Drosophila melanogaster: one gene and its partners. The protein of the gene in region 4 interacts with the protein of the main gene of each other region in a pairwise test. Each region holds a gene or a part of one and is shown on either strand. Other genes may lie near its edges.

Region 1 (3,359 bases), on a different chromosome or scaffold from region 4:
TACGGAGCACCACCTGCCCCCCGCACCGTCGAGCAGTTCTAGTTTGTAGTGTCGTCTAGGTCTACAGCCCATGAATGTAAATATTATTTATGATCGCTGCCATTAAAGAGAGTTTAGAGAAAGCAAAATCAGCCGGATCTTAAAGTCCTTGGGATATTGATGAAAAAATTATTATAGCGGTTACAGTATTTCATATTACTACCTTGAAGTCATGAGCGCTCCATTCGTTGCGGATCCAGAAATCTTGAGATACGATCATCAATCAGTGCATCTTAACAAAGGCACTCGATATTTTTTTTATTTACCAGGAGCACGCATTGAATACAAATGAGGTTACTGCGCAAGTTATTGGGTACCGATAATTGGGAAAGCAATAATTTATATTGCTCAATTATGCATTACTCGTTATTAACGTCGAATACAATATTCAACTTTCAATTTGTTTATTTGGTTACTTAGGTCAAGATTGCAAAAGCGCATTGAACAATGGATTACAACATGGATTTCCCTTAAAATTGTTAAAAATGTATGTAAAGCGTTAAAAATATTTATCATTATTGCAAGATGTTGCAGAAAAAGAAAGTAAAAATTGACCGGAAATTGAAGATATTATGGTTAGATAATTTCCAAATATACTATATGTTTGCCAAAAAAGGTTATAAATTACTTTATTTTATATCCAAAATGATAGAACATTGAAAGAATAAATTTTATAAGGACCAATATTTAACAATATACTGTAAAATTTACAAGCTCACGCGTCCTTTAAGCGATCATAATAGGAGTAGACCACCAGCCAAAAGTACAAGCCTAGAACTGGAAAAGGATTTGGCCAAGTTGAACATTGTGCCGAAATATTGAATGCAACTTACGGGATTGAAGAATATCGAAAACTAGATATTCATTCATGATGCCCTCTGTGGCTACAAACACGCCCTCGGCAACTAAAATGAAGAACCGCAGGCAGGAAACTGAGAGGTAAGGCAACAGAAAATATCTCAGGCCCTGTAATTAGACAGCTTTATATTGTCCACCAACCAAAATATTACGGATCCCTACCAGAACTGCTCCCAGCAGTAGAAAAATGCAGCAGATAACGTAGATACCGCTCACCACAAGGGAAAAAAGTCCCAGCAGGCTGTCACCTAAGAAAGCCAGTTATATCTTAGCTATTCCTATGCTCAGGACCACTCACGATCAACAAAGAAGCGATCTAGTCCACGTATTAGCACCTCAACGATGGCTATCAGGATGCTTCCGCACTTCAGATCCACGCAGCAACAGCAATTGTCCGAGTAGATCATTTTCGTTTCTTTTTGGGGGGTTTCTAAGCCAATTTCGGATACGAACTGCCTGGCCAACTGACTTACAATAGCAGGTAATTATGATGAAGTCTTTAATTCGGAGCACGTTTCATGTTCCAATGCTTGCTGCATAATTAATCGGCTTGCGTAGCTTAGACCAATTAAGGTCAATGCCACCAAAGTGCAGTGCAATCGGTGGTCTATATTTCACATTAGAACTAGTGCGATTTTAATCGAACACGTTATCAAACTAAATTAATTGATTTGTTTAAATACTGTAATATTATTATCTTTTACATTCATTTGAATATCAAAAACATTAGTGGAAATTCTTTAAAATACTTTAAAGTCTAAGAAATATGGTTTAAAGAGGGGAAAACTACATCTTAATGCGTTATAACACTACTAGAATGAGGCAACTTATTCAGGGAGTAAACCACTTTGTAGTGCTGGGGTAACAGCAGTTTGAAATCCTTGCCCAGAAAGGTGCATCAAATATCGACAAAATTACACATATATTTATTAAAAACTCTATAGCAAAGTTAATGTACAAGAACCAAAGCTCTTTGCATCTTGTCAACTGCAGAAACTCAGGACTCGCAAGCTGGAGAATGTAGAGTAATATGTATTTGTGGCTCATCCTAGCCTAAGCGCTTTTAAATGCGAGGAGACTTATTTCTAGCCCAGTAAACGCAATGATTTTATAGTCAGCCTACAGCGGACTTTCGTCTGCGGGTCCGCCGAACTCCTCGCCCTAGGGGAATCGTCCTCCGTTGTTGAAGTTGTTTGGAGGCGGACGACGAATGGGACGACGGTTGCGGGTCCGTTGCGCAAAGCGATTGTTATTGGCTGACATCTGGTTTTGCTGAATGTTTCCCGGCGACGTGTCCCGTTGCCAGACAATCCGCTGCGGACGGTTCTGGCTGTTGGGACTGCCACCCCTCATGGCGCGATGTCCTCGTCGGGTGGGCACCGCACTACGCAGCGTGCGAAATCGCGTGTTCTCCGACGGTGAAGTGGCCTCCGCCTCCCGACCCTCCTCCTAAAAAGAAATGGAGAGCAATCAATTTAGGATTCAGTTGGTGCAGATTGGTCTTGGTTTGGATTACAACAGAAACATTACATCCATTCTTCAGTATTTAATATTCCATGCACTCCATAAGTGGGGTGAACTACAAATCATATCCCATGGGGTTAATTACATTCAAAGCAACGTATTTCCATGCAGGGTCTCATCGGGACCAACCTGCTTTTCTCCACAGCTATCTTGCCACCAATGCAAGTACTACTTACCTCAACACCCACCGCCTGCTTTTCACCCTCGGAGGAGACGCCGTCGGCTCCCTCGCTGTCCTCGGTGGGGTTTCCCTCGCCAAGATTGGCTTGGTTGTGGGACACCTCCGATTGGCTAGTGCCCACATTTGGATCTGGATAAAATTGAGTGCTTAGTTTTCCAATCCATTTACACTATTTATTATAACATACTATCATTTCCTAGCGGCTGAGAGTCTTCTCCTTGGCCAGTAGCCATTGTCTCCTCGGCGAATGCCTCATCTGCTTCTCTGGCGTTATCTGTTCCGTCAGCATGATCACCACCATCGTCAGCAGCTTTAAGGGCGTCGCTTCCGCTGCTCTCCCCTGCCTCGCTCTGTTTTTGCGGAGAACTGGCCGAGGCAGCTCCCGTATCGCTGGGGCCTGCGCTTTCATGAGGCGCGCCTCCGGCCACCTCGGCGGTGCCATCGACTTCAGCGGACTCCAAGCGGGCAGGTTGCTCACAAAAATTCGAGACTTGAGGTGAACTTACAATCTCCACAGAGCTGTGTTTGATTTAATTCAATTAGTGAAGCTCATCGTAGACAAATCGTTAACCTACCTTTCGTTGCGTCGGGCGGCGGCTGTGGACGTTGAGGCAGCTGCCTGCTTCCAGTTGGAGGCCTCAGCCTGAGGTAGAGTCACCGGGTTCGATGACTCTCCACTGCCACTGGTGATGGCCTGACTCTGGTTGTTCTCCTGAGTGGAAGCGGATGCAGTTGCAATTGCCTGGTTGTCCAGCGA
Region 2 (4,532 bases), on a different chromosome or scaffold from region 4:
CTACTACATATACGGGTAAGTCTAATTGAGATTCATTGTGGCCAGGGTCCTCATTTGTCTAACGTTTCTAATTGCTAATTTTAGCATGGTTTATTCGCTCATCTCGACATAGGCAAGCTCTTGCCTGGGGATCTCAGTGTTGGCGCCAACGCATCAGCGTCGTGTATTAGTTGTCTAAACTCGGGTAGAGGACTTCCTTTTTTGGGGAAGAGTCCCCATCAACCGCGAACAATACTTCACTTGTAAATTCTAGTGTAAATCCATAAAGACATCTTGAAGCTTTGTTTTTTTCATACAATTTGTAATACTTTTCTGCAGTAAGAGATTGTAACATGTTTTTATTTTGATTATTTTTTGCATATCGCATCTTTGGTGTAGTTGGATTTTAAGCATTAAATAAAAGTCAAATCAATGTAACCAATTTTCATTTTTCTGTTTAGCATGAGGGACAGCGGAATTTTTGGCTAAACACGACGAACATGGAGCAACGAGCACTTAAGATAATAAAGATTATGAAAGGGCACTTAAACCTTATCAGCAGGGCAAACATAGATATAGTCTCTCTCCAATTTGATACTTGCATTACACGTTTTCTAAGGTAATATACAAGTTTCTTACATCAGCAAACATATTTATCATTCGGCTTTATATTTTGGAAATTATATTTAATTTTAGAGCTTCCATTAGAATGGAAAAATTCACCAAAGAACCACATGCTAAAATAAATGTATTTTGCTTTAGAACGTATTTATAACTTTATTTTACAATCGTTTCGGGAGGCCACAGCTTGGAATAAACAATATTGTGATTGAATCTTGATTAAAATAAAAAGCTGTATACATGGATAGGTACATGGGGCTTTTAATGGGCAACTGGCGTTTGATTACGACATAAAAACAACGAAGAACAAGAAGAAGAATATGAGAACGCCGAAGATTTTGATCATCAGCCAGCGATTTTTGGAGACGGATTGAAAGTATTTCAAGATCTCCCCATGGGCAGCCTCAATATTCAATTCCGCATCCGCCACATTCGTGTCAATACGCTCCACGATCTCTTCCTGCTCCTTAACCATATGTGCCAGCTGCTGGAATATTCCGCCGAGCTCAACGATGGTAGATTCTATATTTTGCATGGTCTCCGCCCGCTGCTGGACGTAATTATCGGAATCATCGTAGATGGCCATCTGTGTCTGGGTTGATAGGAGTGGTGTGGTATCGCTGCTCCCCATATCTATGCTGACCGCTTGGTTTTCCTCGCTGAGAAGCAAAGATCCCTGCTTGGCTGTCGAGGGGGAGACGGTGTGCGCGGCCAACGGACCTGGTCCCTGGCTAAACTGATCACGTCGCGTCTTCTGCTGCTTGAGGTTCTCCGTGCGCACCTCCAGGATTTGCTTGAAGTCCGTGCTCATGCTGGCCAGTTTCGATTGCAGGGCCAGTACCATGTTAGAGGAATGTGACACCAAATGCTTGCCGTTTGTGTGACGCCGCTGATCCTTGGAGATGTCCTGCAGTCGGGCAATTTGTTGATTTAAGGCATTTAGGTCGCCTTTGATGATATAGGTCAGCTCCTGAATCTCCTGCGGTCTGTCATCAAATAAGCTCTTCTTTTTGGCCACTAAAACGAAGATGGGAATTTTAAAGTTTTGAATATGACTTTAAGGGGTTACTAAAACATGTACTTACACATTGTGAGCTTCTCCAGTTTTGCGTAGGTGCTGGCTATGTTCTTGCCAATAAACCTGGCGACCATCATGAACTCCGAGTAGCTCTGAACCTGCTTAGCTTTGCGGGGATCGCGTATATTCACTGCCCGGGTGATATTTCGAGCCTGCAGGGAACGAATCGCATTGGCGAACTCGCCCGTTCGATCGCGTGCGGCCATGACGAATATTTCTGGTTCGGGTTCCGTTTCCTGCGGCTCCTCCTTCGATTGGTAAAACTGTGAACTAGTCGGAATGGAAGCGGGGTAGCTATAGTTGCTTTGGCTATCGTTATTGATGCCCGGTTGATTGCCGGTGACCACGGCGGCAGCGGCACTTAAAGTGCGCAGTGCGTGGCCCGAGAAGGCGCGTAGGTTCCACTGGCGGGCCGCCTTGCCGTACTTGTCGTCGGAGTAATCGGGAGTGGAAATGGAATCGCCCGACTGGTAGTTGTCTCCAATGTGGATGGCCGCCTCGTGACCAGTTGGTGGTGGAACCAGGGACTGTGCTAATAGTCCTACCGATCCGCCAGCTGTTCCCGTGCCCACAGATCCTGCGCCTGCTCCTCCCTGTTGATCCTCTTGAATGGTATAGGTACTGCTACTGCTGTAATCCTGCTGGTCTGTTTGATGAAGGCGTCTTCGGGTTTGCATCTCATTTCAGATTGCAGCTTTTACCAGGGAGTTGACGTTGCTGTTTTTCATATGCACACGAACGAAATGATCTGTTGGACTTTTCTTTGCGAAAATTTCCCCTTTGTTTTTCTCCTTTAATGCACTGGTTTACCGTTTGATGTTTGGCTCGTCACTTAGCTGGCAGGTTTGTGTGTCCTAAACAAAGTAAAATTTGGTCTCCGTTCAAGTATTTCCCAATGGTTTTGTCAAAAAATTCATAATAATTGCTAAAGGTTGCAGAAAACTCACTCAAACGCACACACACACACTCTTCTCACACACACGAACACACCTCCAGATGATAGATTACGATGACGTGTTGATATTTAAGCAACTATCGATAGGCACGAAACAGATTAAAACAGTTGCTACTTCTTTTCGTTCGGAAAGACACACGTTTTCCAATATTTCAAAATATTTATTTATAATAGTTATTATTAAAATATTTATTGTAAAATATTGTCTGCAAAACTAGCTTGTTTTTTATAGTCTGCCTGACATGCCGTCAGCCCTGTTAAGCACATATCGATAACCCACGGCAAGCAACGCTAGTTTTTTTCTTTTCAACTTTTAATTCTTCTCTTAATTAAGCCAAAATAAAATAGCCATAATTTATCAAAGAAAATGACACTGTATCACTTTGGAAATTGTGTGGCCCTGCTGACGCCGTACTACTTCACCTATAAATACTCCGGCCTGTGAGTTTACTTCTGGTTACTGGTGATTTGCCGACTGCCAAGTCCGCAGCTCTACCAGGTCAATAAAAAACTATTTGTGAACTTTCCCGGCTTATTATTTAATCACAGATCAGAATATGGAGCCTTCTGGAAGTGCGTGCAGGCGGGAGGCATTTATATATTCACACAGCTCGTCAAGATGCTGGTGCTGGCCACATTCTTCTACTCGGACGCTCCATCCTCCAGCGGCGAGTTCAACTTCTTTGCGGTACGTGTGCTTATCTTTGTTTACCTTCACCCAATTATTGAGGTCATGTTGTGGTTTCTTTGGTCTGCAGGAGATTCTTCGCTGCAGCATGGACATCGCCGATCTGCTTGGATTCGCCCTAATCTTGAGTCGCATACCCGGCAAGGGCCACTCAAAGCTCATAACGGCTGGACTTGGATGTAGGTTGAACGAACCAACTTATTTAAACTTAATTAATGATGAGGGTGGCTTTTAAAGATTGAAAAGTACTCTGTTCAGATATATTAATGTTACAAGAGCCAATGCCTACTCAACCTTTAATACCCCAACCCATATATGTATGACAACTTCCAAAAATTTAGTAAAAACTAAATATTTTCGTATACTTCCGCAGGGGCCACCGCCGAAGTGATTCTTTCCCGAGGTATCATGCTGTGGGTGGGTGCCCGAGGCACCGAGTTCAGTTGGATCTACATCCTCAAGTGTCTGGAATCGAACGTGCTTCTGGTGCAGCACATCACTACGGCCACCCTGATCTGGCTCTTCACCCGTCACGATTTGAACAAGGCATTAAAGCCGCTGGTTAGTCTACTTCTGGCGGTGACTGTCTTCAAAGGCGTCTGGCTGGAGGGCATGCTCCACATTCTGACCATTGGACCTTGGCTAACGGTGGCTGTTAAAGCGCTGGTGGCGGCCGTCATTGGATTCTGCACGCTGCACATCTATTCGGGTCTGGCCCAGCAGATCGGAATTTAAGCAATTGTGCCAAACACTCTGTATTCCTTTGTTTTTGTAACTTGTTTATTTTTTGGTGTTGTCAGAGAAATTGAGATTTTGTAACAAAGACAACAATTACGGTTTAGAGAATTACTCCAAATGTTAATGAATTATAGCTACGATAACGTAATAGTAACAAAGATAACAAACAACTTTTAATGGGTACACGAAACTAATATGATAATGAAAAAAAAACTATTTTTATAGACAGCAACAAGTAACATCTATAGAATTTTTCAATTCTTGAAATGAAACGAATTATCCAGGACATCGTTGCTCAATTGTACCATAAGATTGTATGGAAAAAGAGTAGATTAAAGCCATCTAGGTTAGAGATTGGCTCAACTTATATGTTATAACACAATAGCAATAACAGAAAACAAAACAACAACAAAAATGTGGAAGATTGTCAACTACAAAGTTGTTTGGTAATCTTGAAAAAAATTATCTAAAAA
Region 3 (4,046 bases), 2.4 Mb from region 4:
TGGATAATTTGGATAACTCCGTAAAATAGGATAACTATTGTGCTTAATTGTGGCATAGCAAATTTCGATCATTTCAGTCCCTTTAATGTTGCCTGCCTTACGACTAACTTTCTTTTTTGCGCCCGCTGACTTTCTTTATTATTGGCTCAATTTATGGTTAACCACAATGTTTTATCAACTCAATTTGCTCTCAATTTAAATTCTCCTTGCGTTTCTCCCCTTCTCTGTCTCTTTCTCCTTCTCCGATTCTCCGCGGATTGCATTGCCACAAAAAAGCACAATTGCCAAGGAGTAATTCCATTGATGCACCCAACATCATGCACTACGATATTAAAATTAAAATAGTCTAACCAGTTATTGTTAACTTTTATATCTGCTACTTTTGATCTACAATTTTTCATTTCACTTTTCTAGGTAAATTGTCGCCGCAAAAAGAGAAGAAACTAAAATAAGAAGTTGATATAAATAAACTTTAAAGCTGCAGAAACAAAGTGGATCGGGCCATTCTTTAAATTAAAAACCAAAACAGAGAAGAGAATTATGTACATAAACTAAAGAAAACTGTACTGATTAAATTAAATACATAACATGTAAATATATATATATATATGTATAAAAGATATATATATATATATATATATATTTATTAAAAAGACAAAATGGAATTATTGTACTTGTTAATAAGAGAATATAAAGGACATTCTATGTTCTAGTGCTAGGTTAATACAATACAAAAGATTTAATTGTCTTAGCTTAAGCTACAAACCAATCTGGCTTTTCTCGAGCTATGTACAGAAGCGCATCTGATTCTAGACCTCCAGAATTGCCGACATGGTCTTCTTGACCGCATCGCGGGCGTAGGGGATGTACGACAGCGAGTACCAGGTCATGGCCAGAGATTGTATGATAATGAATATAAGCGTGAGTCCCGCCTTTTTCCACTAAAGCCAATCAAATAAAAATAATAACATATTAAGTGCACACATCGATTGCATCGTACTGTTTTTTTGTTCAAGTAATAAGAATTAAACCAATATTCAGAATTTAATTGCTAGGGCATGTGAAACTGTGTTATTAATATTAAAAGTAAAATGCTAAAAGCTTTCATTTAACTTTACTGTGAGTTCATGAAGTATGTATAAGATTTGGATCGCTATTTCATTGGATAACTTTAAAGTCTAAACATTAAGGAAAAGTTTTCTACAAAACCTGCAAACAAATTCGTCATGCTATCGCTATAAAACTAACTTGATTATAAAAGTTAACGACCGAACCCTAAATAATTGTGATATCTTCGATTTGAGCATGGACGCCTTACCACAATAGCAGCGATGAACGTCAGGACCATCATGACGAGCACGATGATGGTGGCGATCAGCCGTGTTTCCGCAAACATTTTCTTGATCTGCTTGAAGGGACCCATGAGAAAGCAGGTACTGAAACCGGAGAAGAGAGACTCATTAGCCGGCTTGTGTGAAGTACGAGTGGAACGGAACCAGCAACTCGCTCACCTGGCCATCGAGATGACGTTTCCTAGAGTGTAGAAGACCGCAAAGACCACAATGCCCCTGTGCAGAAATAGGGCGACCGAGCCGAGTAGGGAAAGTAAGATGCCCAAGGCAAAGCAGATGACGAATCCCTTGATCCGAGTGGACCAGCTCAAAGTGGACATGTCGTTGATCTGCGTATGTAATTGATTGATATTAACTAAATACTTTGATAAGCGTTGGGTCACACGGCTTGGGGCGCCATGTGATCGCGGGGCGTTGCCAGCGGCTAGCTCCTAAGCCACGCCATAATCATAATTCCTCCAGCCAGAATATGTTAAGGGATCTAATGAGATCTGTACCATTAGAAAATTTCTTCACCTGCGTAATGATACTGCTCTCCTCCTCCGGAGTGGGCTCATCTCCACTCAGAACGCGGCGCAACTTGTCCATTATGCGGCGATTGAATAATGTTCAACAGGTGGCTGACTTGGAATTACCGGCACTCCTCTCGGGGGGTTTTGCACATACAAGGGTCTCTTCTGTTTTTATGCTCCGGAATTTTCACACCAAAATAAATCCAAGATCATACCTAGTGTGACCGTGGTGGTAACCGTTAACATATACCGTCCGATTAAAAATTATACCAACAATTTGCAATTTTATATATATCTTCATAAAAAAACTAAAGAAATCAGATATTAGTAGTGCATTTTTGTTCAAGAATATCCATTTAAAAACAAATATGTTTTTATATCAAAATCATATTCAAAATATAATTTTAGCTTTTTCTAGCTAGCATGCCATATTTAGAAACTTTGGCAGCCAACTGCTGGTCACATTCGCGACATCTGGCAACGCCTCCAGCATGTTTTGTTCAGCTCTACGTAACATTTTGAGGAATTCACAAAATGCGGCTAAAAACGCAACAATTACCTCACAAATACGAAATCTGCGAGGACAACAAAGTGTCCACCATGAGGTAGAAGTGTTAACATCACCGGGTATAACCACCAAACAGAATGACAAGAAGACCGAGCCTGCGGAATGTGAAGGCTCCAAAGAAGTGGCTCTGGACTTCCGAAATCGGGAGGCCCATGTGCCTTCCTTCAATTTGGCGGCCTATGTGAACAACTCGAGTACCCTGCAGCAATTTCTCAGCTTGGGAGTGGATCTGCACAGTATTGAACGGCGAAAGGGATTGGGAGACTTTGTACTGAAGCTGGATTTCGAGAAAAATGTGAAGCCCTACATAACGTTCCTGGTGGATCAGGGCGTATCACCCGATGACTTCGGCAGGATGTTCACCAAGAACCCGCTGCTGTTCAAGGAGGACTTGGACGATCTGCAGACCAGAGTGAACTATCTAAAAAGCAAGAGATTCTCGGACGAAGCCAGGCAAAGAATTCTCACCCAGAATCCTTATTGGCTGATGTTCTCCACCAGGCGAGTGGATCGTCGATTGGGTTACTTCCAAAAGGAGTTCAAATTGAGTGGTCATGATCTGCGACTGTTGGCCACCAGAGAACCCAATGCCATTACCTACAATATGGAACACCTCCGCAAGTCTGTGTTCACCCTTAAGGAGGAAATGGGATTCAATGCCAAGGAGCTAAGTGACCTGGTGGTACGAAAGCCGCGCCTCTTGATGATTCGTAAGTCTATCTACATTCAAAATTAAGGACATTTGTAATTAAACAACTTATCCTTGCAGCTCCGGATGATCTTGTCGAGCGATTTAGTTACATTCACCAGGATATGGGCCTTCCACATGCCCAGATTGTCCAGTGCCCGGAGCTTTTGGCCTCACGCGAATTTAGACTGCGGGAACGTCATGAGTTCCTGAAATTGCTTGGAAGAGCGCAATATGATCCGCAAAAAGACCTGTATATATCGCCAAAAACTATAGTGGAAGGCAATAACTTTTATTTCGTCCGAAATGTGGCTAAAAGTGATTTGGAAACATTTGATTTGTTTTTGAAAACGAGATAAGAATAAAATAAAAGTAAATGTATATATACTTTTCATATTCATATATGCATATGCATATATTTTCAAAAGTCAACAGAAACCAAGTTTTATCATTTTAAAAATAACCACCAATAAATTTACTTGATACAAGGGATGCCAGATGTAGGAAAACATAGACACGCACCTGGATTGCTACCGTTTCTCCATCTGGTCACACTGGACAGCAACAAAAGATTTAAACTACGCATTAAGCTTGTGCGTAGAAACGAATCGTGTTTAATTTTAGTTACAAGACAGTCGCTTCGGGAGAAGCATTAAACAAAGTTGCAATATTTCGGAGCTCCAGCGGTTGGCTTCAGTCCGAAACCAGTAGTTATAGTCAAATCGAGTGCAGCGGCGGAGAAACAGCGCCAAACGAAAAGTAAAACGCATTTTCCTACGCATACATAAACAGCAAAAGCGAATACACAAACACAGGCAGACATACGGAAGGGCCAAAAAAAACTTGGTCAAACTCACGAAAGAATAATAGAAATAGTTTAACTTTAAAGCGAGTTAATAATAAGCAATAAACCCAAGTTATCTTTG
Region 4 (3,800 bases):
TTCTGGCCCTTGGCCATTTCGATTTTAATACAAGAAATTCCTGACATTGTCGCCTGGCCATAAAGAAGTCGAAGGGAATGCGTCGAAGGAGCCGAACTCGTATGACAACTTTATCGGGCCGAAAGAAGAATATTTGCTGAGATTTTCAGGTGGTTTTTAGACGTTGACCTTGTCTTATGTCCCTTATGACACTACCCTAAGAAATCTGGTCTGGTCACATCTGTGAACCAATTTACTATTCCCCTTTCTTGACCTTTTAAAAAAACAATTGGAGAATCTTATAAAAAGAGCACAAAACGGTGTGATAAATATGTTGGCTATAATATTTATATATTTAAAAAATCTAAAAATAAAGTATATAAAGTAAATAAAGTGCCGTGCCCTAGCGACCTTTTACATTTTAGGCATTTGCATGGAAATGGCCATCATTTTGTGACAGGAGCCAAAGAAACTCAATGCAGTTTTAAGTAATTTTATGTGTATTTGTTTTAATTTACATTCAAAATGAACGATAAGATTTTCTGGCCAATTTTCTGCCTTGTCCTCTGCATCTTGATGCATTGACAACTTGTCAAACATTCTAATATCCTGTACAGCTTGTGATGTGAGCATTATGGGGGAATTTGGTTTAATTAAACTGCATTCATACATGTGCAAATACATCGATTTTGCTGTTTGCATATTAATTCCAGTAATTCTAAATGAAGACGGCAGAAATTACGAGGATTTCTCAAGTAATCTCAAATGGGTGATGAACAAATGTCTATTACAAATGGGAATAGTTGGACTGTTAAACAGGATTAATATATTGGAAATATTTGTTTTACGACAAACTGAAAGGTTTTCATTTTATATTCATCATATTTTGTTGAATCTACTATTTTCTTTTAAAGTTTTTTATATATAACATATACTACTGTTATTAAGTGGACCCTTTAGCAATTGCGAGCGATCAAAAGCTTTTGAACGATTGATTTAAATTATTCCGATTTTAGTATTCTTTTCTCTACCCTCCCCAAAAGTCATTTATTTTCTGAATCTTGAGGGTGGAAAGTTAAACCACTCGATGTCATTTTGACGCCAGTGACTTTTTCCCGTATTTGCCCAAAATATTAGCGTAATGCCTTTGACAAATCAATTGGCAAGCGATTGACTTGGCAGACAGAAGGCTGAGTGTCATTAACCACACCCTCAATGGGCGTTGGTCACACCTCGTGCCAAAATTATTTGCCCAGGATGCTCCAAGAATTGGAATAAAAGACCTTGTTGACGGTGCGGATCAAACGCGAACGAAGCTGTGACAAAGAGATCTTGAAAAGCGTTCTGTTTGACTTAACAATCGTTCAAGTAAGGGATCAAGTAGAAAATATACGACCAGTAATTCTTAATTTTCAAAAACATAAATTGCCTATGGTTAGAGAAATAGGTACAAAAGCAGAAGCTAAAATGAATTTATTATCACCGATTACAGAAATAGAATATGAAGTTAAATATCTTGCGATAGAAAGGATAGCTCAAACTCAATCAAATTATGTATCTGCGAAAACCCATTTACAACCCCAAGCAAAGACAAAGCAATTTATGAATAATTTGCATAATTCATGTAAAAGGATATTTTTAAACAGATGACACGAATTGGCAACAGGTGCTTTTGGCGGTTAAATGTTGGGATCTTTCTTGTATCGGTGGTACTTGACATGCATCTCGTATTATATAGCATATAGATGTATATAAATATATATATTTATATACGAGCTCCTCAACTGGCAGCTACTCAGTTAGTGGTGGTAATTTCAATAATTTCCACATTATAATTTAATAATGTGTGGATGTGAAACAAGCTGCATGCTTAATTTAAACTTTTCAGCTTTAATAGTTCACAGACTCTCGACGTTTATACGGACGGACAGACTGACACAGCCATAAGTATATATTGTACATACATATAGACTAGCCCATCAATCCTGATCAAGAATATAAAGAATCCATCTGAAAGGTAAACCTTTCAACAAATCTAGTACTCTACGCGTGATGGGTATAGAAAACAAATATAATCTAGTATTCGAATAGTTTACTGTCGTTGCAATCGTATCCAAGTTTTTGTAATTTGTATATCTTCTCAGTACTAAAGGTCTTAAAAACTCAAAAAAAAAAAAAATATGGCCACAAGCGCGAACTCTGTTCAAGTTTCTGGAGCCGGTGCGGAGGTAAACGAAGCTAAACTCATCTGCATCTGGGAGGGAATAACTGAGCTGATCCTGTGGCGCAACTGGATAAAGTCGATGCTTGTATTCGTAATGCTACAGACCATAATTTATGATCTGCTTTCTGAACCGCTTGTGTTCGTGGTGAGCGTATGGGCTTTGATTATCATGGTCATATCAATGGGGTACCGTTTTTTGGTACAGTACACTAATACCCATATCCAGAACAACAGCTATCCGAAATATCTTGACATAGACCTAAGAATCTCCCAGGAGTTATCTAAGCAACTGGGTGTTCTAGTTTCAACCAAAGTTGTTGCGTTTCTAAATAATCTACGAGAGATATTACTAGTAAAGAGCTTTTCGAAATCATTCAAGTGGTTTGGCCTTCTCCTAATAATTAGCAAACTTGGAAAGCAGATTAACTTTCTAATTGTTGGCCAATTAGGTAAGTCTATCATTAATAAATAATGAAAGAAAATAACAAAATTCATTCAAATATCAGGGCTGTTTCTACTCTTCACAATTCCCAAAATGTGTGAGATGAATAGACGTTCATCAAATATTGTACAACTTCCTAAATTTAATAAACAATATCAAATTACCAAAGTAAACGCTTCGACCGAAACCCAGAATGCATTGGACATGGAATCCTTAAAAGAGTGCAACGAGGACACCATAAAGCTAATTGAAAAGCAACCAGAAGGGATGGATCTCTCACTCGGCTGTGATATTACCAAGGAATCCCAGAATGCGGCTGATGATCTTAAAGCCTTTAAAGTAAAGGAGGAAATAGACATTGATGCTTTTGAGCGACTTGCCGATTCCTGGTCCGACGAAGATACACTTACTGATCAAAAAAATTAATTCAAGACAATTCAAATAATTTATTTTTATATATTGTGAAGCGTTTGGATAAATAAAACTCCTAGGGGCACTGTGCGGAACAACAGCTACACGACTTGCTTATTCTAATAGGGAGATACTTTAACCTAATTCGAACTACTGCTTTCGTCGCCATCGTTCACAAATTCAAAGGCCCTTCTGGACCGGAAAGCGTGATAGGGTCCTTGCTTCGGCTGTCCTGCTTGAAATTCACTCCTAATCCTTGAGACCACTGCACCACTCTGCGGTGAATAGTTTGCCTTGAAGATCTTTAGGAATGACGGAATGGGAGGCACAATGCCATCCGTATGAAACTGAACAATCCCCTGGATGTGTTGAGGTCGCAAGAGGCTGCATAGCTGCCGAAGATGCATCCTGGTCGGAGTCGGTGTCCACTTTAGTTCCTTTAGATCCAAGGAAACTACCTTTTGATAGTGATTAAAGTCCGTCGGGCAACCGCTGACGAAAACCCTTGGTACATAATTTTCCTCCAGAAAACGCTCCAGATCGATGCTAAGGCACTCATAGCTTTTTGCAATGTGGTCGCCCAAATGAATATGCCCGCGAAGACTTGTGTGTGCCAATCTCCATAACATTTCCTCGTAGCCAAATTTTGGCACTTTCAGGTGCACCATACTCTGGTCATTTCTTGCTCCGAGATCCTCGATGAAATGTGCCATCTCATCAAAATCAATATGATCAAACGGCAAA

Evidence for each region.
Region 1: the proteins of CG42853 (region 4) and CG34230 interact in a two-hybrid assay, tested with the Drosophila melanogaster proteins (one large-scale study listed by BioGRID).
Region 2: the proteins of CG42853 (region 4) and Syx5 interact in a two-hybrid assay, tested with the Drosophila melanogaster proteins (one large-scale study listed by BioGRID).
Region 3: the proteins of CG42853 (region 4) and CG5104 interact in a two-hybrid assay, tested with the Drosophila melanogaster proteins (one large-scale study listed by BioGRID).

The regions. Positions count from the first base shown.
Region 1 is NT_033778.4:11,859,302-11,862,660, reverse strand, and holds CG34230 (uncharacterized protein), read right to left. Parts: upstream 1,352-3,359; 5' UTR 1,305-1,351; coding exon 1,196-1,304; intron 1,146-1,195; coding exon 1,060-1,145; intron 1,006-1,059; coding exon 873-1,005; intron 817-872; coding exon 755-816; 3' UTR 646-754; downstream 1-645. Other genes in the region: Twdlbeta (tweedlebeta), read left to right, coding at 1-42; Mgtor (megator), read right to left, coding at 2,059-2,346, 2,598-2,731, 2,790-3,121, 3,178-3,359.
Region 2 is NT_033779.5:16,305,483-16,310,014, reverse strand, and holds Syx5 (syntaxin 5), read right to left. Parts: upstream 2,670-4,532; 5' UTR 2,356-2,669; coding exon 1,686-2,355; intron 1,618-1,685; coding exon 884-1,617; 3' UTR 741-883; downstream 1-740. Other genes in the region: cni (cornichon), read left to right, coding at 1-15, 85-112; CG5861 (uncharacterized protein), read left to right, coding at 3,001-3,074, 3,183-3,321, 3,392-3,500, 3,695-4,056. UniProt on the Drosophila melanogaster protein: Mediates endoplasmic reticulum to Golgi transport.
Region 3 is NT_037436.4:20,519,050-20,523,095, reverse strand, and holds CG5104 (uncharacterized protein), read right to left. Parts: upstream 2,088-4,046; 5' UTR 1,941-2,087; coding exon 1,869-1,940; intron 1,682-1,868; coding exon 1,512-1,681; intron 1,437-1,511; coding exon 1,319-1,436; intron 942-1,318; coding exon 810-941; 3' UTR 662-809; downstream 1-661. Other genes in the region: Pss (phosphatidylserine synthase), read left to right, coding at 415-452; mTerf3 (mitochondrial transcription termination factor 3), read left to right, coding at 2,356-3,142, 3,202-3,479.
Region 4 is NT_037436.4:18,120,287-18,124,086, reverse strand, and holds CG42853 (uncharacterized protein), read left to right. Parts: upstream 1-2,097; 5' UTR 2,098-2,159; coding exon 2,160-2,652; intron 2,653-2,709; coding exon 2,710-3,071; 3' UTR 3,072-3,155; downstream 3,156-3,800. Other genes in the region: CG7341 (uncharacterized protein), read right to left, coding at 3,197-3,800.